Linked DNA regions of Alligator mississippiensis. The protein of the gene in region 1 interacts with the protein of each later gene in a pairwise test. Links are inferred from orthologs where the notes say so. Each region holds a gene or a part of one and is shown on either strand. Other genes may lie near its edges. The genes, in order: HPRT1 and ISCU.

What was found.
Region 2: the proteins of HPRT1 (region 1) and ISCU interact in binary tests that used the Homo sapiens proteins (3 or more experiments, as listed by UniProt). The two-hybrid records come from large-scale screens. The link is inferred for Alligator mississippiensis from reciprocal best matches to the Homo sapiens genes HPRT1 and ISCU.

The regions. Positions count from the first base shown.
Region 1 is NC_081831.1:80,411,870-80,424,122, reverse strand, and holds the start of HPRT1 (hypoxanthine-guanine phosphoribosyltransferase), read left to right. Parts: upstream 1-7,642; 5' UTR 7,643-7,725; coding exon 7,726-7,752; intron 7,753-10,582; coding exon 10,583-10,689; intron 10,690-12,253. UniProt on the Homo sapiens protein: Converts guanine to guanosine monophosphate, and hypoxanthine to inosine monophosphate. Transfers the 5-phosphoribosyl group from 5-phosphoribosylpyrophosphate onto the purine.
Region 2 is NC_081833.1:4,622,115-4,633,504, forward strand, and holds ISCU (iron-sulfur cluster assembly enzyme ISCU), read left to right. Parts: upstream 1-6,324; 5' UTR 6,325-6,354; coding exon 6,355-6,528; intron 6,529-6,854; coding exon 6,855-6,965; intron 6,966-7,803; coding exon 7,804-7,882; intron 7,883-8,152; coding exon 8,153-8,250; 3' UTR 8,251-8,726; downstream 8,727-11,390. Other genes in the region: SART3 (squamous cell carcinoma antigen recognized by T-cells 3), read right to left, coding at 133-317, 2,769-2,873, 3,584-3,710, 4,738-4,935.

The DNA.
Region 1 (12,253 bases):
GGCCAGCAGGAACATGGGGGTATGGAAGGGGGTTTCCTCTGCAGCCCCCTTTTGGCTGTACCCCAAGCCCCTGGGCCTCTCCAATGCAGTGCACATCTCTTCTGCCTTCATTTCTGCATGAGGAAGAAGCTAGGAGGGGGCTGCACTGCAAAATGATGACTACGTGCTCCCCACCCCTTGGATGGTCACTCTCCAGGAGGTGCAGGCTGGGCCTTTAACCCTGGTTGCTCTTCCTGCACTTGCATGTGGTGATGCTGATACTTCATCTACCGAGGACTTGCAGCAAATTTACCAGTTCATTTCACAGGCTGTTTTGAACAGCTGTGAGGTGTTGGGCAGGCAGGGCAGGTGCTACTAGCCTTTGTAAGCTGGTGCTGGACCTGTCTGAGGTGGGAGGAGTCGATAACTTGGCTATTTTTAATATCTGCTGGCGCAGCCCAGAGGAGAGATGTTGGCTATGTTTTTCTCTTGCCTCCAAACTACTTCAGCCAGATATTTAGAGCCCAACACAGTGCTCCAGCAATGTTTGTCTCTCCCGTGTTATTCCCAGAGAAGAGCTGCTCTGTTACATCCTTTTCATTGCAGCATATTTTGCAATGAAACAGGGCACATGAAAGAGCCCCCATGTCTGCAGGCCTGTGGAAGCTCTTCTGCTGCTCCCCGGATGCTACTGAGGAGCAGACGGGCACCAGGATGGAGGACATGGAATTTGGAGCCTCTCTGTTTTTTGCCAAGAGATGCATCTTGTACTGGTTCATTTTTGCTGCACACACAGGACTAAATATTCAGAGCCTCACGGCTGATCACAGGCAAGCTCTCCATGCCTCTGTCACCTACATGTGTTTGTTGTCAGCAGCTAAAGGTGGCCCAGCAGCACATGGGCTGCCTGGGTGGGGAATGCTGAATGCAGGAAGTGAGACATCTCACATGGCCCTGGAGGGAGCCAGCTCAGGCTTTGCTTTCTATTCTCAAGTGTCAGTTTGCACATCCACGTGGGGCTCGCTGGCCCTCCCACTCCCATCTCGGCAAGGCTTCCATACAGATTTGCAGCCACGAGCTCGTGCTGCAGCAGCCTCAGCCCAGAGTTGTTTCTCATTAACCCAGCTCCTGCCGCCACCTCTTTCAGCTGCACAACAGGGATAAGCAAGGAGTGACCCAAACAGGCCTGGCCCTTGGCCGAGGCACTGCATGGCCCTGCCGGCTGCTGGAGTGGAGTCCAGTGGGAAGTCCAGGCTTACTGTTGCCCAAGAGAACAGCACATTTCCCGCAAGTGAATCAGGTTTCCACTTAAGTCTCAGGGCTTGTTCAGACAAACGTGGTGCCCTGCAGGCAAGCCCTTCCGATTCAGGGCACACCTCTATCTGCACATAGCTCTGCCTTGCCCGCCGATGCCGGTTCCTTCAGCTGGGAAGTGAGCCTGGAACAGGCCCAGACTGTGAGGCCCCTGGGGAAGAGCTCTACCCAGTGTAGATCCACCCGCCAACAGCAGGCCCAGAGTTGTAACCATCCTCCCCGTCAGGTGTGTGGGGCCCTGTGACGTAGGTAGCCTAGCTGGGTGTGTGCTCCAGGCTTGGCAGCATACGGTTACACCAGTGTCTGTCGGCTCATGTTGATGCTACACGCGTGTCATGAGGATGTCCCTCAGCTGTGTCAGGAACCTGTTTTCTTCCCTTTAATTCCTGTTTTCACCTCTGCTGCCTAGTTGAGCCACAGCATTAAATAAATCCCTTCCAGGCACTGGCTGCGTCTGCTTTAGTGGATGCACACAGCACCTAGCACCATCCTTTCCGTACTGCACAGTAGTGAGCCTGATCCCATGCTCTTTCATCCTGAATTCAGAATGAGGCCCAGAAAGTGACTTCTTGGTGCAAGTGCATTAGAGTACACTCCAGTAAGTCCACAAAGAACGTGTCTAGCTATATATGCAGCTTTCTCACCATTGTATCTAACCATCCCCTAGACATAAAGCCATTTTGCTTCTCAGTGCACCTGTGAGGCAGGGATGTTTCCTAGTTCAGAGAGTTTCCTAGGATCAGGGTTGAGGCAAAAGCTTACACCTCACAAAAGGTCAGAGCTGCACTGCTAGGCATTGCACTTGGCTCTCCCAGGTCCAGGAGCTGCACCTCCATGGCAAGGCCTTCCCACAGTCCTTGGCTAAGTCTAGGCTCATGAGGGCATGTATATTAGGGTGTGTGCGTGTGTGCGCCCCCCCCTTAATAACTTCATGTTTTGGTCAGCAGCATATTCACTGCTTTGTGAGTTGTTCCTTAGCTACTGGTTTTCCTCTTGAGTACAAAGGTTGGTATCCATCTCAGGACCTATATCCTCCACTGCTCACCACTACCACTCTCTCCTTAATAAGGAATATGCTGCCAGACTTCTGACCAAAGTGAGCTGCACTCCCCTCCACCATTGCTGTGTTGCAACACTCATCTTTTCTCCTCCTCTTTCAGATGTGCAAACATGCAGGAAAAAATAGAGATTTCTAGGATTGCTAATCTTTATCACATCAGTCAGCAACAATAGAAATAGAAATGGAAATTTGGGTGAGGCCTGAATGATAGTGGATGGGCTGTGATCAAAAATCAACTATCATAAATCATCTGTATTGCAAGTGACTTCAAACAGTTTCACCCTCCCTACACATTAGATGTGGCCTCTCTACAGTCCCCCTTCGGAGGTGTGTGTTAAAAAATAAGATGCCCTGGTCTCAGATTTGGGTGGGTCTGGTTGCCTGTGTAGAGGGTGATTACACCCTGGTCAGCAACAGTGGATGGAATACATATGATATTAGACAAGTCCCCAGCCACAAAATGTGTTTTTTAGATATTTTTTAAACATATTCAATGTTAAAATTCAATGTTTCTCAGAGCTATGGGTCTCTCAGACTTACAAGCAAGCTTCAGCAGGACAGTGTACTGGCTTCCAGGTATCTCTGAATCTGTGTGCATCTCCCAATCTGAAATGCTCAGTGATTTCCACACTAAAGCTCTAAAAATCCTCAGCTCAGCAACTTCCTGTAATGTCAGCAAATCTGTCTGCTGTTGTAAATCTGCCTTCTCCTCCCTATTCGTGTGCCAGCAGGACCAGAAACTCTTGGGATCTGGAAATCTGCTGTTTGGCAGGAAGAACAAAGAAATTACTCACCCAGAAGGGCAACAGTGGACTAAAACTTTAGTGCTTCTATTCACTCGGGAGAAATGTCACATGAACTGGCAGCAAGTGCCACATGCGGTGACAAAGGCTGGATTTGACGTTATTTGTTAATAAGCATTGCTAATATCAGCTATTAATAAGAAAGCTTCATCAGTACACATAGCAAGCAGCACCTGAATCCCCTACCCACTGTCCAGCGCAGTCAGGCATTTGAGGAGCCGGTCAGAGCTTCTCTTTCCCCTCTTCCATATCGATCTGGTCTTTCTGCTGAGCGTGAACTAGAGGAATTGAGGGTGAGGTTGTGCCCAGGCTCATAAGTATGTGTAAGGAAGGAAGAATATAAATGCAGAGCCGGGCACAGTCTCAGTTCTAGATGCAAACCCTGCTCTGTGCTACTGCTAACCTCCCAAGGGCCATACTCCTGCCCTGCTCCCTCACGATTTGTTATAGCTGCCCCTTACAGAAGAGGAAGAGAGGCAATGTTGCACCCTTTCCAAGGATGGTACAGCTGCTCTTCCCTGCCTCTGCGTGAAGCACTGCCCTGTGTGTCTAGACAGGGGCACTTAATTTAAAAAATAGCACTTCTGTTGGCCCAAGGGGTTGCAGCTCTTCATGCAGGCAGACTCTGGCTGTAACAGTGGACCGCTCTCAGCACAGAGGTCACGTAAGGTAAAGAGCAACCTTATCTTCTGTGAGATGAAAGGGGTTGGATACAATGGTTGTGAACAGTGAGAACTGCCCAGTGCACGATTCACGTAAATGGGTTAAATGCAAAACCATTACCCACCCCAACCTGCCCCTTCTGGAAAACTTGGGCTAGCTCACACCATTGTCAACACAACAATCAGACAAAACGGCTTTATGGCTGTAAGGTTTTGTCTGTACGGGGACATGGGACATTACCTGTATAATGGCACCAATATAGTGCCAGCAATATAGCTTCCCCAATGGAGGCTGTTAGTCTAGAAGAAGCATGCTTTTTGATTTAGCGTATAACACTTGGGGGAATGAAATGAGCCATGCTTGCAAAAGCAGTTCTGCTGATATAACTGTGTACGCCAGGGGCTCTTGCCACCACCACAGCTCTGTCACTTACAATTCACACCTGACTGCAGCCCTGACTGACTCCTTCTCAAAGGGAAAGGAGCAGGGCCAGGGCCACCAACCTGCTCAGAATAACAACGTGACATCTGATGCATGACCCTTTTGCTGCACCTTCTGCTTGGAACTGGACAGGATGTTTGCGAGTGACCCTACCACTGGTCCTATCACAACAGCGGTGCTTTTCTTTCTACTGGGAAGGTGCTGAGCATAGACAATTATCCCAGTTACCCCTATCCCTTTCACTGGGATAACCTGCAGAGCCCCTCAAGTTCTTAATCTAAGAGCTGTGCACAAACATTAATTAAAATGTCCCATTATAAGGACGTTTCTACCACTTAAATATTAAGTATGACATGGTGGAGCAACGCTGTGTGTTTTACGGATACAGGAGCCTCCCCTTCAACAAAACTGTGTTCCACAATCTGTGTTTTTATTAAGAAATAAAAAGATCTGTTCACTCTCAGAGCCACAAAATATTGCCTTGAAGACATCAACCAAGGTCTTACTGATGATGACAGAGATTAGGCCTGATTTTAGCTACTGCTGACTAGTTTTTCTGAGGTAAACTGTAAGGTGAATGAAGACAGATGAAAGCTGCACTGGTTGTACTTCCTCCAGCCTCAAGCAGGGGAAAGGACTAACCAGGACAGGGCTAATGAATATCTTTTTATTAAACACAATAATCCAGGTCCATAAAGCAATACCGTGTTTAACATTGTGCCCTTGCCTAGAATAAGGATTTGAAGGAGTAATGTCAGCAGAAGCTAACCTGGTTTGAAAGTCCAGTGCAGTGGAGTAAGACTGTCATTAACGTGCTGATCTGGTCAAGCTGAAGCTTAATGTAATGCATTTTCCAAGCACAGACAAGGCCCTTGCATCTGTAGCAGGTGCAAATAATGACTCTGAGATTTGTGAACTAAATCATCACCCCAGGTTAACCTCTAAAAGCAGGAGCTGACACTCCAAATGTCAACATTGTTATGTATTTCACTATAATGGAAATATCAAGTAAATTAGCTTAGTCTACCCCCTAAATCAGCTCTTTTTGTCACTGTGCATTTTCTAAAAATACCAGTTGCTAAAATTATAATTCATGCAAACGCTGCTACCAATCACTGACCTCTTATATGGTAGTGCTTGTTCACAAATAGACAAATCTGCATCAGATCAAAAACGAAAATGTGCATCTAACATAAAACAAGTTTAATATAGCAGTGCCAATGCAAAAACTGCCCAGGCAGCTGTGCTTCTTTTATTATTAATGTTTCTATTCAGTTACGATGTCTAGTTCTCTAATACACTTATGCATGCTGCATAATCCAGACCCCTTCTCCCAAAGCTAGGTACTGCTTACTGAGGAGCACCTGAAGTTTGCCAGATTGAAGCAATGATGCAGTCCAGCATTCAAGGAAGAACTCAGTTAATGATTAAACAATACAAAAAAAATCCCTAAAACTGTATTTAAATCTAGCATCATCCTGAAGGGAAATATGGCATAATTATGCAAACTAAAGAGCATGGGAAAAGCAGTATTCCAGGAAGCCTGAAAGAACATAGTGTTTGTATTTTCCTAATCTACGATTCTATTCACCAGGCCCGCTGCATGATTAAGTGTTTTGATTTAAACCATTAAACATGGTTGAAACGCAGTGATGTTGGGTCCATGTGCAGGGAAGTTCACTGAAGTGAAAGCTTCAGCAATGAGGCACAGCCTCATTTAAGTGAAACTCATTGCTAGTGTTAAGCTAAACCGTTAATTTTGCTCTTGGTAAATTCTTTGGGTCAGAGACCATCCAATGGGCCTTGATCCCTAATTAGGTCTGGGCACTGTAGCAACAAGAACCACAATCATAAAGACTTGACTGTGTTTGCAAGACCCTGCGCTCAACCTGACAGCATTTGCCTGTCTGTGTCCCGGTGTCTTTAATCTGCAGTTTTGGGGAATGTCTTAGCATCCCCAAGGGGAAAACAAAAAAGATGGATTTGGAAGAAAACCAGAAAACTGGAAGTGCGACAACGTGGGATATGTAGAGCACCTACCATATGGTCAATGAACGCACAACGTCAAGTACTTTTGCAGCGCTCTACAGCACACAGAGCTAAATAATGGCAACTCTCCACACTTTCTACCATAATCAATGCAGCTATTTAATCTCTGCTCTCCCTGCCTCAATAGGAGTGAATACAAATCACTTCTCTCCAAGACCGAGTGGCCAACAGAAGATAGCAGGTATGAAGAAAAGAAGCGTGCATGCAACCCCTGGCATGGTGGGGAGGGTCTGCAGAAACTTGGCAAGGGGGACTGCACCTACCTGGGAGGGAAGTGCGGGAGCTGATATGGGAGAAATCAGAAGGGGACGGACACGCTTAGCATGGAGGGGAAGGGGAATGGGGGACGTAGAGAGGCCGAGGCATGAGGGAGGGCAGATGTTGTTGAACAAAGAAGGCGAGAGAGATGGTGGGGTAGGCAGGAGTGCAAGGAGCCAGAAACAACGTACCAGAAGCCTATCCCTAACACATGGGAAAGCAAAACGACAGCAAGAGGCACACGGGCTTGTCACGGTATTTGAGACTTGACATGACGTTACGTGTGGGATTCACCTTGTCCGCAGCACCGGGAGCCCGAAGACGCCTGGCCTTGAGCGGGGGCTTGGGTTCGATGATCTCCTGCGGTCCCTCTCCGCCGGGCGGAGGAAATCCTCCCCGCCCCAAAACGAAGCCCTGAAGCGTGAGATTCGGTCGCTCGCCGTCCGAATGTAGCGCTGCCAAAGCCGTGCCCCTGTTGAGGACGATACAGGCGGTCCCAGACGAGGATGAACTTGGAGAGTCAGGGGTTCAGCTTCCAGTGCACAACCGCCCCCGGCATGCACCAACCGGGCCCAAATTCGCCCCCCGCTTTTTAAACGAGTCTGAAAAAACCAGCAAACCCCAGCGAGGCCCTTTGCTTTCCAAGCCAGCTCTTCCAATACGTAACGTCGCGGGCGGCCACGTGCGCGTGGCAGGCGAGGAGCGTGCGTCCGCCTGTTTCGCAGCCCCCTAGCAGCGTAGCCGTAAATATCACCCTCCACGTGTCGCTCGCCCACACTCGAGCCCTTCCACCGACAGGCTAACACGTCCACGTTTCTCCTCCGCCCGACACGTGCGAGGGAGGGGCACGCGTGTCAAGTGTCCCCTCAGCGCAGCCGGGCCTGGTCCGGCCTGGGTCCTTAGTGGTGGTTGTGAGGGGGGTTGCCATGGTGATTATGAGGGGGGGGTGTTGCCATGATGGTGCTGAGGGGTTACCATGGTGCTTATGAGGGGGTTGCCATGGTGACGACGGGGCGCCCCCCCACCCCTCACGGGCGCCGCTCGGGGCGGGAGGCCGCGGCCATGTTGCGGGCGGGAGGCGGCGCCTGTGGCGGCGGGAGCCGAGCCCGCTCCGAGCCGAGCCGAGCCGAGCCGATCCGGCGGCCGCGCACCAGCTCCATGGCGACCCCCAGCCCCTGCATCGTGGTGAGCGCCGCGGCCCGGCCCGGCCCGCACTGGTCACGGTCGGGGTCGGGGGGGGGACACGGATCCCAAAAATAGCGGGGGGTGCGGGGGGGGGGGTATGTGGGAGCGACGGGGCCCCAGAGATTGGGGGAGGGGTGATGATGGGGTATTTGGGGGGCGATTGGCGGGGGCTGATGGGGGTATCTACAAGTGACGCGGCCCCAAAGGTGGGCAGGTATTTGGGGGGCATGGGGGGGCTGATGGGGTACCCCCCCAGAGACGGGGAGGTGTTTGGGGGAGATTGCAGAGGAGATGGGGTACCCCCTAGAGACGGGGAGGTATTTGGGGGCATAGGGCGGCATGTGCAGGGATGGGGGTCCCCGAGACAGGCACTATTTTGGGGGAGGCACCTAGCTGGGGGTTACTCTCCCAGCACTGGTTCCTGCCAGGGCCTTGAGGATGTGTGCGGGTCCCTCCTGACCCCAGAAACTACGAAAGTATGGGGGTTTGAGGTGTGCATGGGGGTGCGGGTCCGTCCAGGTGCGAGGTGAGGGGAGCGCGAGCGAGGTACTCGGGGGCAGCCTGGCTGCGTCAGGCCCTTTCGGGGTGCTTGCCCCCCCAGGCGCCCCATGGCGAGGAGGTTCGGAGCGACCCACGCGCACCCTGCGCCCATCCAGGGCAGTCGCATCCATCCCGGCGGAGGCTGCAGGGGGCCCTGCCGGCTCGGGCAGACGCCTTACCTGCGTGCTTAATGTGACTGTGGACTCTCCGGCGCTGGGCGTAACCTTGACGTCCTCATTAAACCAGTTAACAGCCATGGTGACTTTCAGTTTGCAAGGGCAGGGGATGGTGCTGATTGTGGAGTTCGCCACAGGTAGTATCTGGTTCTTGTCCCTGCTTTCTAACAGCTGATCTTCAGCTTCCCCCCCAACCTGATTTAGAATAATGTAAATTGGAAAAAAAAAAGGAGAGCTCATCATCGTCTTAGGGAACATTTCTCAAGAGGCTTTAAAACCAAAAACAAGACGAACCTGCAGAGAAAAGCAACCTCCTTTTTTTACCTTTGCAAATTACGCCAGCGTGAAATACATTCTGATCTCCATCGCTTTGCATAGTATGCAAACTCATTAATGCATTTGTGTAATAACATGCGGAAAGGTAGAGTTTAACTATAATCAGCTTATAATGCTTGGGTTAGACCTGATTTGAAAGGCACTGAATTCCTGTTTATTTTGAAGAGGCTCTAAAAAAAAATACCTGTTTGAAATGTAATTTTGTACAACCCCCCAAAAAACAACCCACCACCACCGCTCAAGAAAACCTGTGGTTTCTATGAGTGACTGCACTATTTAGCAGTGTCCCCTGGCTCAAAATGCCGTGCTCCTTCCTTCCCCCCAACCCCTACAGCAGTATGTAGTTTGCCATCCCTATTTAAAAATGTCAGTGTTAAGTTTTTAGGAAGGAGTCATTTTTTCTCTGAATATGGAAAGAAAGTTTTGTTAAATAAATTAAATATAATTATAGAGTTGAACTATAAGAAAACCCTGTAGCTTTTAAAAGACAGGGATCTCGTCTGAAATAGTAGCTTACTAAGGTTTCCAGGGCTGTCTTATCCAGTGATTGCTGAGTTTGGTGTACCAGAGAGGGAGGAGTAGTCTTATAACTTCAATTCTTATAGGCTCTCATGCTACTAAGTCTCTTGTGAAATGATCCTTAGCGAGTGGCATGGCATAAACCTGAGCAGGTGACAGCTTGCAAGGCCAGGTAAAAGCTTCCTTTGGTAACGAAATGATTCTGCGTATTTTGCAGAGAGAACAGGAGTTGAGCTGGATCGTTAAGAGGCATGCGCTGGTGAATTACGAGTAATAGGCTTCAGTTTTCTCCACAGACATTTAACTATACTTCACATATAATGGGATTCAGCTGTAAAAGCAGAAATGAAGATAGTAAAAATTACATTAGTAACTTTAAATGGTGGGTAGGTAAAAGTCACGAAAGCTCAGATCTTGATGCTTTTGTAATGGCACATCCTACACCTTAATAGTTCCTGGTGTAATTATATGTCTGCTAATCACATGTCATAATTAACACACACTTGAGTGCTGATCCTGCAAGCTGTTCTGTTCTGGTTCCTGCCCATGCCAAACAGCTTGCTGAAATGGGACTTTCATGTCTGATGATGAGAGGTGTTGAGCACCCTGCAGTTCCCAGGATCCGGGCCGTAGAAACATGCCAAACCCCTTCTTGATGTGAGCATGTAACTGGGCACATTGGTAAAGATGTCTTGTGTCTCAGTTATTGGAAATGGGCTCCTGGATTTTGTTTGATTTGGTATTGTGCAGATTTGGAGGGCTTCCATGTTATTAAGTACACTTGATCAGTACCTTATGTAGCTTCTGTATTGCCCTTGTTAGAAATAAATGGAGATTTTTTTCCTCTAAAAATAAATAATTTGTAGTACAGGGAATGGAATCACAGCTGGAGGGGAGTCATTTCACTTCCTGTTCTCTCAGCCGAAGGAACTAGTTAAGATTTTAAATGAATATCTGCCCTTGTTTGATGTTTTATTAAGCAAGTGCTCATTCATTCGGCATGTGAGATGGGTCTCATATGCCATAGATGGTAACACTAACCTATACTTGACTTCATGTTCAATGCGATCGTTGCCTTTATATTGAGGGAGGATAAAGTGATGAGCATACCAGGTTCAACAGCTTGTTGAAAAAGTCAGGGTTTGATGTTTTACTTCACAGGTCTTTTGCTTGTCATACCTGAATTCTTCTAGGTCATGGTTTCCTCAGAAAGGACCTGTTAATTGTACCAACTCTCATCTTTCATATTTTCATTTCAGATTGGCGATGATGAACAAGGTTATGACTTGGACTTGTTCTGCATACCAAAACATTATGCAGATGACTTGGAAAAAGTCTATATTCCTCATGGGCTTATTATGGACAGGTTAGTTTGACTTCAAATAATGTATTATGCCAACTTAATTTCATGAAATTGGGAAAAATGTCTACCAGCAACAGTTTTGTTAAGCCTTGTAGCGTTTTGCTATCTGATGATGATCTAAATAGAGGACCTTGTGGAAAAATTTTAATTAGGAACTACGTGCTGTCTTCTAGAAAGAAGTGCAAGCACTAATTAACTCTCTTTCACTCACAAGCCTCTAAGAATTGGCACATTTGCTGCTGTGGTCATTTTCAAAACTACAGGATAGCTGTTAGGAGATACTGTACTAGTGTTAAGAACTAACCAAAAAAGCACCTTAGTTTAGATTGCAAACGGAAAACATTATGGCTTTTTTAATTTTATCGCAAGATTAATCCAGGGAGACTGGAGACATTGTTTCCGTACTTTCAGGTTAGGAAAACTTAATATCTTAAGTTCTCTTCCTTTCTGGGAAATGCATCATCAGCCTTTGCAAAATACTGGTCTATTGCTTCTCTACAGCCAAAACCCATAAAACTTGTATTTTCTATTTCTGTTCTCAGAGGGAAAAGCAGTTTCAGTGGCGTGATTACCAGAGAAAACATCTTCCAAAAACTACCTTTTGTACTTACGAAAAGATCTTTTTGAAGTGGAGATAAGGATAGCCCTAGAGTTCATGTTGTGGTAGTGAATTCCCACTAACTTAATAGGGTATTTTAAAATATTTATTTCCAGCATTAACGTATTTATATCATGGTATTATGAGAGCTATTTATGGATTTCCAATGTAAGTTAAAAACTGACTAAAATACATAGCATTTGAGTAGTATTTTATTAAATGAAGGGCTCTAGTTGTAGCCTCTTCCTAACAAGTGTGTGGCTGGCTGAATATGCTATAAATATTACACCATGCTTTTCTAAATAAATGAGAAGCTAAATTTAGAAATGATTTCCTTCTGAAAGATGACTGGTACAAGTAACATGTCAGTCAGCTGGCTTCTAGTGTCTGTGTATTGTCCTTAGCTTTGGAGTTAATGCAGGGTCCTTGTCACTTGTGTTTTAACCTGGAACAAAAGTAAGGCACTAGTTTTCCATCTGAGAAATGCCTGCCTTTTGCCTGGTTTGTGTAGGATGGCTCTCTCTGCTTGTTCTACTGGTAAACAAATTTATATTTCTCTGTGCTTGGGGAACAGAAAAGCCGCAGAACATGCTTTTTTTTCAAAATCCACATGTGAAAGAGCTACTAACTGAGCAAAGATTCAGATTTGTTTTGGCTGATTGTGACCTATAAAGCTGGCAGTGTGTGGCAATGTTACTGTTAGATTAACCTTGAGAAGTGAGAAAAGCAAAAACCTTACTGACCAGTAAACAGTAAAATTGGCTGAGAAGTGCTAGGCAAATATTTCATTGAGCAAGGAAGATATGTGTCCTAGTGCAGCATGAGTATTTCCCATTGCTGGCTGCAATACCAAAACATACTGCTGTAAGAAACAAATGGGCCTTGTCCAGACGAGCATGGGTGTGCAGTATGTGGCACCGCAGATACGTTTGCAGCGCCACATACTGCATGTTCAGCTGTTCTCCATGC
Region 2 (11,390 bases), on another chromosome or scaffold:
AGACAAGCCCTTCTTTACCAGCGATGTACTGATTACTGAAAAGCCGTGCCACCCCCACCACCCGCCCGCCCATGAGGCCTACAACACCACCATTTGTTCATGTGTAAGACAGTGGAGAAAACCAAACCTTACCTGTGCTGTTTCTAAGATGGCATTCTCAAACTCCCGGTAAGCCTCCCATATGGCTGCTCCCTTTGTGACATGCAAGCCAACAGCAGTCAGTGCTCTTTCAAATACCGAGCGGACCCTCTCGATCCCTCCTTCCAGTCCAATGCCCCCAATGGAATACTGAGCATACTCGAGCCAGATCTCAGGACCTAAACAAAAGCCATCAGGAATGTTAAAAGAAAGGGCAGGAGAGAAAGAGCCTCCTTCCCATGCCCATTTCTGTATCACCCAATATTTACAGTATATATGCAGTCTTCAGCGCGCACTGACAACATATCCTACTACAATCCCATGGAGGGAGAGAGAAGCTAAATTATTATTATTTATGCCACATTCTTGACCCACTACCAACAGCTGCAATTTCTCTGCCAACAGATGTCACTTATATCTTGCTTCTGGGCAGTGCATAAGAATTAAGGTTAATGATGCCAGACTGCACAGGCCCTTGAAAGCAAGTCATAGAAATTAAGGGCTGGAAGCGACCTTGAAAGATCTTCAAGTCCAACTCGCCTGCTCTGGGCAAGAATACGGCTGAGATCAAATTATCTCAGCAAGGTGTCTGTCCCGTCTCCTCTTGAAGACTTCCAAGGATGGGGACTGCACCACCTCCTTGGGAAGTCTATTCTAGATTCTGGTCGCCCTTACCATAAAGAAGTTCTTCCTTGCTTCCAACCTGAAACCATTCTCTAACGGTTTATGGCCACTGATCCTTGTCTTCCCCTGGTCATCTTGGTGAACAGTTTTTCCTCCCAGCTCCCAATATTCACCCCTTTCATACTTATAGACAGCCACCAAGTCCCCCCTCAGTCTTCTTTTCCCCAGGCTGAACAGTCCCAGATCCCTTAGTCTTTCCCCATAAGGTTTGTCCTCCTGACCCTTAATCGTTCTTGTGGCCCTTCTCTGGACCCTTTCAAGATTCTCCAAATCTTTTCTGAAGTGGACACAGGACTCCAGCTGCGGTATCAGCAACGCCGAGTAGAGAGAAAGTATCACTTCCTTAGCCCTGCTCACAATGCATCAGCTAATGCATCCCAGTATGCTATCAGCAATGTTGACTACAGCATCGTACTGGCAGCTCATGTTCATCCTGTGATCAGCTATAGCCCAGAGGTCCCTCTCAGCCATCATGCTGGCCAGGACATCTCCTCCTAACCTATATTCATGTTGCTGGTTACTTCTCCCCAGATGAAGCACTCTGCATTTATCCTTACTGAACTGCATCCGGTTCTACTCCGCCCACCTTCCCAGCTTGTTCAGGTCTTCTTGGATCTGCATCCTATCCCCTAGTGTGACCACTTTTCCCCATCACTTAGTATTGTTCGCAAACTTGGCCAGCGTGCTTTCCACATCCTCATTTAAGTCACTGATAAAGATGTTGAACAGCACGGGGCCAAGAATTGAACCCAGCGGGACACCACTGGCCACCTCCCACCACGATGATACAGACCCATTCACTAACACTCTAACCGTCATTCAAAACATTACCTGCTATCCACTCACCAGTTCCCCTTCTCAGCCTCTAATACTTCCCCACTATAGATCATCTCTCTACCTTCTTCCCAATTATCAACGGGCATCCCTAAAGGTAAGCCATGTTAACTGTCACTTCCATGTTTCCCAATGGCCAACGGAGGGCTGATGTGGCTTTTTTCCTCCTGTTACCCTCTGCATAGGATTTTATAATTGGGGTGTGCAACATAAGTGAAGTCTGACAGCAATCAAAAAACTAGCATTAAAAGAAAGTTAGTTGATGTTCTTTGACAGAACGAAGGTCAGGAGAGCTGGGTAGGCAACTCCATCTGCCTAGCTGGAAACAACCCAGTTATGACAAATTAGGACTTAACTCCCTGGGTGTGCGATTTCTGGAATGAGTCTAATTAAAGATCTGAAGAAAACTCTAACTGCGGGGCCATGACCAATACCTCCAAACCTGCCACTCCACTTCGCAGATGATGCACATTCAACCCTCCACCACAATGAAGGGAAAGAATAAGTTAGTGCTCTAATTAGGTATGTAGCAGCAGCCACCATCTGGCAAAGAGGTGTAGATAAGGACCAAACCCCTGCCTGTCTTTTAATGAGAATTCTCACTGTCCTCTGCTGCAAAGCATGAGTGGGGTTGGACACTTACAAGGGCGTTTAAGGACAGGGTCTTTGTGATACTACCAATACCCTACTCTGAAAGACCTTTTATAGCGAAAGAATACAAAGGTACACACTGAAGGCAGCAGTAACTAATGAAACCAATTCTACAGACAAGAACAAGGTGGTGAAAATAAACCTTTTAAAATCACTAATTTGCCCCAAGCAAGGAAAGGAGAGTTCATTATGGGATACAGGATTCAGTAGGTGCAGGGAGTTCTTCACAGAAAACAGCCAATGCAAAGCCACAACACAGTGTTAACTGTTTCCTGCCTGTAAGAGCAGCAAATTGCTTGGCAACATCTATCTGAAGTCTACAATCGTATGAGCCTGACTCTGCAATTCACTGCCTTACATAGGGTTTCCAAGCAGCTACTCTCTTCCTTCCAGGAAAAAAAAATTGAGGAGGAATAGTTCACAATAACGTAATGTACTTTTAGGATGTGTCTGCAACTTACAGATATAGTCTTTCACAGCCCGCTCGAACAAATCATACACCTTCTCTCGATCAGCGTTTTCTGAAGCCATTCTGATCTCGTCCTTTAACCAGTCCAGCCAGATTTCTGTAAGAGAGCAAGCATTTCAGACCCCATCAACCAAGGACATTCCAGAGCCTGAGAAACAAGCAGGATTGTTACCATGTCACTGGAAAAAGAATCTAAGCAGAGAATTACTTTTAAAAGAAATCAGGCCTTGAAACCTGACAGTTACCTACAGTGAACTGCGCTAACCTTTGGCCAGCTTTTACCCATTTGGACACCATACGTACGGGCAAATTTGTATTTAAAAGGAGAACAGCTGGTCCCTTGTGCTGTGAACCATAATTCCCTGTGCCCTGAACTGAAGCCATCCCACAACTGGTGCCCCTCTGTGTACTCCAACACGTACTTGGCCAGAGCGATTGCATTTGTCCCTAAAAAGGGGTCCCCCTACTACCACAACACTGTCAAGGCAAAGCAGGGAAACACACAGCTGCTGCGAGTACCAAAAACAAAACAACGAAATCAGTCTTTCGGCTCTCTGCGACTTAAACTAGTAAATTCAGGAAAAAAGACAAATTTTAAGGTTTTAGCCACTGCATGCCCAGCACTTGATTTTACTGCTTAAAATATTTGCATAAGAGCAGTCAACTGTGTCTACCTAATTTGGTCTTGTGAACCCTTCATGAAGTTGAACCCCAACACTTCACACAACACACAGTTTATTTTCTGAAGAGGGAGGAGGGTTGGTATCAAGCCAGAGGGAACGGCGTCAGCGACAAGAGCTCCCGTACCTTCAGTGAGCGGGAAGAGTTCGCTCATCTTCTGGCGAGCTCTTCGAAGCTTGACCAGCTCTCCCTCCTGACGGAGGAGCTTGATCAGGTCCAGGTGACAGTTGTAGTCGAACGCGTTGATCGAAAGCTTTTTGAAAGGAAGCGAAAAAGGCGTCAGATAGGAAGCATTACTCGCTGGAGCAGAAAACGGGGAGACGAACGGCTAGATTACAAACGTGTCGGCGGCCCCGCGCGCTGCTGTCCTTGCCCTGTCGCGGAGCAATACCAGGTGCTTCAAGGACATAAACACGATGACATCTTCATAACGCTTCTACGCTTAACCTGCCGCGGGTTCAAACAGGGTCTCCGATCGAGCAGTTCAGCTTAACGCCAGGGAGATTTTGCTCACCGGGGGCTCGCGAGCCTCCCCGAGCTGCCGGGAGCGCCGGCCGCGGCTGTCGTTTCAACTGTAAACGGGGGAATGCGTCTGCCCGTTTTTAACAACCTCTACCTACAAAAATGAACGTCTGTAAGCTAGAAACACCAGAGGGCTTCAACTCCTCCGACAAAAACCAGCCAAAACGAGCAATTTTACAAAAAAGGGATCGTTTCTGATCTGTCGGATCACAACCGTTCTTTATCGCCAAGCGAAGAACGACGCCTGCGTTTGCAGCTCAACGCTGGGGCGCGTTTTACAGTCCCTCGAAGCCCCCGACGGCGGCGCCTAAACCCGGAGGGCCAAAGGCGGTGTTTTATAGTTCGCTGAAGCCGCCGACACCTACACCGGGAGGATTCAAGATGACCTCGCGGCCGCCAACGGCGACACTGACACCGGGATTAAAGATTTTACAGTCCGCTGAAGCCACCGACAGTGACACCTAAGCCGGGGGGAGCTAAAAAGACGACGTTTTTACACTTCGTTGGAGACAGGAGGGCTGAAGTCGCGGCCCCGTGCGGGATCAACTACCACCCTCGAGCGGTCGTGGACGCCCCCCTCGACCGTGTCGGCCTCAGGCGTGGGGGGGAGGGGAAAGGGCCCGCGCGCTCCCGCCACCCCCACGCGAGGACCGTGCGACCGTTACGGCGCGTTGCCATGGAGACCGCGTGCCGTGGGGGGGGGGAGGGGAGGGGAGGGGAGGGGACACCCGCCACCCCCCGGCCCGGCCCGGCCCCACCTGCTCCTCCAGCCGCTGGATCTCGGCCTCGTTCTCCTTCTCCTCATCCTCGCCGTCCCCCGACGACTCCGAGTCGCCGCCGCCGCCAGCTTCCTCGTCTTCATCGTCCTCCTCCTCCTCCTCGGAGCCAGCCCGCCGTTCCTGCTGCTCCTCGGCCGCGGCCGCCGCGGGCTCCTCAGCTCCCGCCGCCGCCGCCATCTTGTGCCGCCGCCTGCCGCCTGCCCCGCGCGGGGCTGCCACGCCGCGCGCCTGATGGCTCCAGGATCCCCGCTGCCGCAGGCGGCGGCGGGAGCGGGAAGGAGCCGCCGCTGCGGGAGTCGTCCGATCCCTCCTGTAAAAACAAGAGCCTCCCAAAAGGGACCGGCGGCCTCCTCTTGTGTTTCATCCTGGCAGGCTACTTGTTCAGCCACCTGTAGCCCCTGAGGGCGCGGGGGCCTTCGAGAAGGTCAGCGCCGGGATTGGCTGGAGCTGGGGAAGGGAGGGGCGGGGCTTAGCCGCCATGTTGAGTGTGGCAGGTTGTGCAATGCAGGCAGCTGGCCTGGTGCTGCAGTGGGCTTCCAGCTGTTTCAGCGCATCCCGCTCGTTTTGGGGGCAGAGGCAATTCCTTGCAAGCATCAGCACTGTATGTGCACCCTCCGTCCCCCCGACTGCTGCAGCACCTTGTTGGGGGATGACACACACCAGGATCCCCTGCGTTTACAAAGCTGCCCCCATCCCCAACCCTGGAGATGCTGTGGAGCTGCTCCTAATTGCTGTCAAAATGGGCCCAACCCACGTTTGAAGTGGGGTAGTGCCCAGACCAGTTTCTCCAGGAGAGTCCCCCCCCCTCCCCCCATGGTGAAGATTTGGGAGCGACCCAAAAAGGATTTTGCCCACAAATCCCTGCCCAAACTCATGGTTGTGACCTTAGCGCAAGGCCTGGGGGGCTGGCGCTTGGCAGGCTGGCGTGTCGACGTGTACTTTGGGTCGGGCAGCGTCAGGTCTCCGTCTCCGTGGCGGAGGTGTGCGTTTTGGGTGCCCCCATGCAGCTTTTGTCCAGGCATCCCAGCCTAATCTCCGCTCTTTACCCAGAGCAACGGACTCGTTGGGTGCTATGGCCTGCCGTTTGTATCGGCAAACGCAATCTTTTCTCCTGTGCCTGACGAAGGATGTCGGTGCCCGAAAGCTCGCAGGGAAAGAATTTTTTTGCAAAAATCTAGTTGGCCCAGCAGCGCAGGGGCCATCTCACCCTCTCCCCTACGCACGGCTGGGCTTCGCCACTCCTGCCCGCGAGCCCTGATAGTATTTGTTAGCAAACATATCATTTCTGATGACCTTCTGCCCCTCCAGCCACCCACCCACCTTCAACTGGGTAACGATTAGCTTGGGACTAAGGCCTGGGGCAAAAGGAACCCGCCAAAACACCCCCCCCCCCCCCCCCCAAATCATCAGCTACCGGGCTCAACCCTCGTTTCCCACCGCCCAGCAAAGGGTTAACCAGGGGCACGTGGCGACGCCATTACGCACGGTGAGGGGGCGGGGCTAGCCGCCGCGGGGACGTAGCGGGCGCGGGGACGTAGAAGACGCCGGCGCCGCCGCGTTCAGGGTCACGTGACAGAGGGGGAGTGGCGGCGCAAGATGGCGGCGCTGCGGACGGGCGGGCGGCTGGCGCAGCTGTCCCGCGGCTACCACCGCAAGGTGGTGGATCACTACGAGAACCCGCGCAACGTGGGCTCGCTCGACAAGCGCAACAAGAACGTGGGCACGGGGCTGGTGGGCGCGCCCGCCTGCGGTGACGTCATGAAGCTGCAGGTGCGCGGGGCAGGGGGAGGGGGAGGGGAGCACAATACAGAAGCCCTGGATCGGGCGGGGAGCGGAAAGCAGAGCAGCAGATCGGATGGGGGGGGAGCGGGAATCCTCGCCCTTCTCCACGGGTTGCTGCCTTGCTCCTCTGCGCAGCGGCCCCGGGGTTACAAGGCGCGTGTCAAAGCCCCGATACCGGGGAGGTTCGCGAGCGCGCGGCGGTCTAGAAGGCCACGCGCTCGCGGCGTTGCTCCGTCGCGTTTCGAGCCTCGCGCGGGCGGCTCTCCCGGTGCCCGGCGGCATCTTTCGACCCCGCGTCGCTGCCCCCCTCGCAGGTGGAAGTGGACGCCAGCGGGAAGATCGTCGACGCAAGGTTCAAAACCTTTGGCTGCGGATCGGCCATCGCCTCGAGCTCCCTGGCCACCGAGTGGGTGAAAGGGAAGACGGTAAGACCCCCGTCGCACCCGCCGGTAGACGGGAAGCTGGGAGGGGTGGAGGGCGGACTGAGACTATCCCATCCTTACGGGCAGATATTCGTAGGCGTTTGTTCCTCTATCTGGAAACGCCGAGCTCGATGGTTTTGCGAACGTGGCCGTTGCAGGAAGAAAAAGGTGTTTTCAACCAACACGTTAAAGCGCGGCGTGAACAAGGAGAGCTCATAATCACGCCTGTGGCCTTCCTCTCCCGTCCCACCGTCCTCAGGATCACAACTTACGCTGTTCCCATATGCACTCTGATATAGGCAGTTGGGATGTATCTATATCGGGATATATTTTTGCACCAAAAAAAAAAACGCATCCTGACCTACAATTGTAGGTCGGGCTGTACAGGTTTTCTATAGTAATATCCAACCCAGGGGTCCCCAGTCTTTTTGGTCCTACGACCCTATTGCAGTGCCAGCCCAACTCGTCCAGTCTAGTTTCTCTAGGTCTTGGCGCAAAGGGAGGCTATGAACCCTAGTCTGGACATCAGTAATTTGGTCGTAACTCTGCCGTGCCTTCAGTTGCCACCCCGCGTTCACATGAAGACCTTTTGCCTAGAGCCCTTCTGTGCTGCTAGATTTCAGGAAGAGATGCCAAGTGGCTCGGCGCAAGAATATGAACTCCAATTAACATAATCATCAGCAAGGAGTTCATAACAAAAGGCTTCTTCTCCCCGTCTTCCTTGGTACCCGATCCTGACGGTTCAGCCGAAGAGCATCCCTTTAACAAATATCTGCACGTGACATCAGGAGGTGGGGAACAAGCGTCGCAGCCCAAATGTAATCTTCCATTTTTGTTTCAGGTGGATGAAGCCTTGGAGATAAGAAATACAGATATTGCTAAGGAGCTCTGCCTTCCTCCAGTTAAACTGCACTGCTCTAGTAAGTTGTCAGTACAGACTTCATTTTTGAGATGTAACAGCTAAACCCAGTTGTTTGCCATAGATCTGGAAGACATTTCCTTCTGCTTTTGTTGTGCTTCTCAAGATGCTTTGAATTGAGACCAGTCGCTGAGGTGCTTTAAAATGCATCTGTCTCTCAAATATTCTGTTAATCTGATCAGTTTTGGGTGAAAAGCAGAAGCAGGCATGCTTGGGTGCGTAAGCCTTGTTTACAAAAAAAGCTTGAAAGCTCTTCATCTTTCTCTTTCAGTGTTGGCTGAAGATGCCATCAAGGCAGCCCTGGCTGATTACAAGCTAAAACAAGATCCTAACAAGGAAGAGCCTGAGAAGAAAGCAGCCAGTACCTAGAACTGTGATGAAAGCTTATTCTCATTAATATCGCAGTGCAATTAGTTTAGGTGTTTAGAGAAGGGAGCCAGTGCACTACCAATCTGAAGCCGTCAGGTACACCCAATATACGCACAATGTTTCACTGTTCGCCTGTATTAAACCACCTTTGTAGTGCACAAATCATTGGTATCCTTGACCTTATTTCTCCACTGATTACTGTCCTATCTGTTTCTCCTGGAAGTGTCTGGGTGAGGAGGGGAAGCACTTACTCGAGGCATAAGTCATTCCTAGCAGTGAAAATCCAAGTGTTTGGAAGGGCTGCATTTCATTCAGTAAATGTATAGTTTTTTCTGAGAGTTTTATAGAAGAGGATTATTTGAAAGCGTGTTGCCTTGTCTTAATGTTTATGCAAAAAAAATGCAGATCAGTTTTATTTTGTGTACAACATATGCAATATATTAAACAGCCTGCGGCAGTTCATCTGCCTGGTACAACTGGTTTGGAAGTCTTTCATTTCACGTCTCTTGTCCTCCCTACGAGCACACTCCTCACCCCCTCCCTATATCTCATTTCCTGGCACCTCAGGATATGTCTAGAGCAGTGGTTTGCTTTTTAGACTAGGCATCCCTCTGAAAATGCTATCGCTTTTATTTCTACTTGTTTTTTGGTGACAAAAAAATACTAGAGCAATTTTTCTGTTGCAGAGAACTCAGGAAGACCACAACAGGTCAGGATGTCTTTAACAATGAATTCCTTTTTGAAATCTCTAGGTTTATCTTATAAATCATGTTTGCCCAAATAACAGTGCTGACATTATGTGGTACCCTGCAGCACCCTTGAAAGGATCTCAAGGCATCCTGGTTGAGAATCACTGGTCTAGAGGCTTGCCAGTCTGTTATTGACCCAACTATATAGATGGGAGACATGTTAAAGAAGCTACTGGAGCACAACTCACTCCTCACCCCTTGTGTGAAGTTTGATAACCCTAAACTAGCTTGTAACCACAATAACGACCGCTAGAGGTCAGTGAAAAATAGCTAAGTAGGGAAACATTGGCCATATTGGCTTGCCAATTCGAGTGCTACTTCTGGCTGAAACGTAGGTGGCTGAATTGTACCGGGTTATCAGATGCGGGGAAATGGAGTTCTGCTAAAACAAGGTGCAGGGCAAGCCTGTGGTGGACCCTATTATTCACTGAGTCTAACTGAGTTGCGATGTTTCTGTTCAGGCCAGAACCAATAATCCCCAAACATTCCTTATCTAAATATAGGATGTAAACCAAGCGCTATTTTCTTGTTTCCTGCACTTAACATTCTTGAAGGCTGTAACATCTAGTTGAAAACATACCAGGTTTTGAAAGAAATCCACACACAAGACTATCTGGAAGGATTTCTTTTTTTTTTACTGCTTTTCTCCTCAAATAGCAATGTGCTCATCCTTACATTTGCTGTTTGGATGCTAACATAGGGTGTGTCCAAGCGAGTGCAGCTGTGTGGTATGTCTGTGGCGCCACACACTGCACATTCAGGTGTTCTCTGTGCTGCAGAGTAGCAGTGCCAGGGTTTTTTTTGATCCTGGAGTCAAAATGAACTGCATGAAAAAAAAGCCAGGTAGTGCATGCCGCCCAAAATGAGTGGCTCTGGCCGGGCTCTGAGCAACAGGATCAGCACAACTGCAGCTCCCCAAAGACCCCAGGTAAGGGTGCTGGGGCCAGCACAGTTGCTGGCCCCAGCCTCCCCTACCACGCTTGGGTAATACGCTGCATGCCAGAGGACACATGGCAGGGGCATTTCTAGGGACAAGTAGCAGTGGCACAAGGTGTGCTGCTGTTTGTCCCTGGGAAAACGAACGTCCATGCTCATCTGGGCATGACCATAATGAGCAAAAATACACTGTAAAAGCTTGGCTGTACAAGTGCTATAACCAGATGCTGCTCATACACAGAGGCCTCCAGAAGCTTAGCTTTAAATTACCCTTCCTGCTGTAACAGATGTGGACAGCTGGATACAGAAAGACTAGACTACTTAAGTTACCAAGGAGCTCAAGTTATGGGACAGGATCCCACTCCACCAAGTACTGTGCAAACACAGATAAGCTTCCTGGCCCAAGTTGCTCACCGTCCAGCTATCAGAAGAGTGTATAGAATCAAAATTGAAGGAAAAATATTAATGCCCCATTGTTCTCCTTGTTCACTTTTTATACCCATGGCAGCAAATGAGTCCTACGAGGAAGACTCTTTCCTGCCCACATGCAGGGGGTCTGGACCCGATGATCTGCAAGGTCCCTTCCAGCCCCTAACAACAATGAAACTAAGCAGTACCCCTCACTGCACATGGATGTTTGGAGATAACTATAAGACGCGTGGCGTGCTTGTGCAATAGAAAAAAAAAACCCATAATAAAGTTAATTGTCTCCAGAAAAGGGACTGCTTGTGGAAAATACAGCCTAGGGGCCAGGCTTTGAACCAGGATCAAACAAAGTCGTGAAGAGCTGCTTGTATATGAGCATGGTCTGTCTTAGGCACGGTAAGGCAGGGGATCGTTGTAAAGAGATATAATGAGGTTGAAGTCTAGCCTGAAGCTTAAACTCAGAGGCCTGTGGCTCCCTGGCTTTCTGGCATCCTGTCAAAACCCAGGCTGCTGGGACTGCACCAGTCAGCAGGGACCCCCAGATGCCTCCCTAGCTAAGAGCTTGGAGACTCGAGCTTCCAGGGATCTGGACCTTCCCAGCAGCCAGCCAAGGGGACTGCCAGTCCAAGTTCCCAAGCAAACTACTGGGCCCTCACCTTTGGACTCCAGCAGCTCGCCCAATGCCCAGCTTGGCAAGTCAAGGGGCCAGGGGCTCCGAGATCCCTTGCAGGGAGCTCAGGAGCTAGGACTTGCTGGGCTCCCAGGTGCCTTCCCCTCCAGTGGCAGGTTGCTTTCTGCCCTGGGCTCTCCAGATTCCTTGGGGGTTGGAGTGGCCAGCCAGGAGCAAAGCATCTCCCCAAGTAGGTAGCTGGCTCCCTGCCCAGGCTTTGCAAATACCCTGCTCCCAAAGGTCAGCAAGTCCCTACAACAGCAAAGCCAGGGTCTGTGCCAGGGTGGATTTGAGGTCCCTTTCCACCACCCGGGAGTCTAAGGAAGTGAACTCAGCAATTCCACAACAGACCCGAGTCA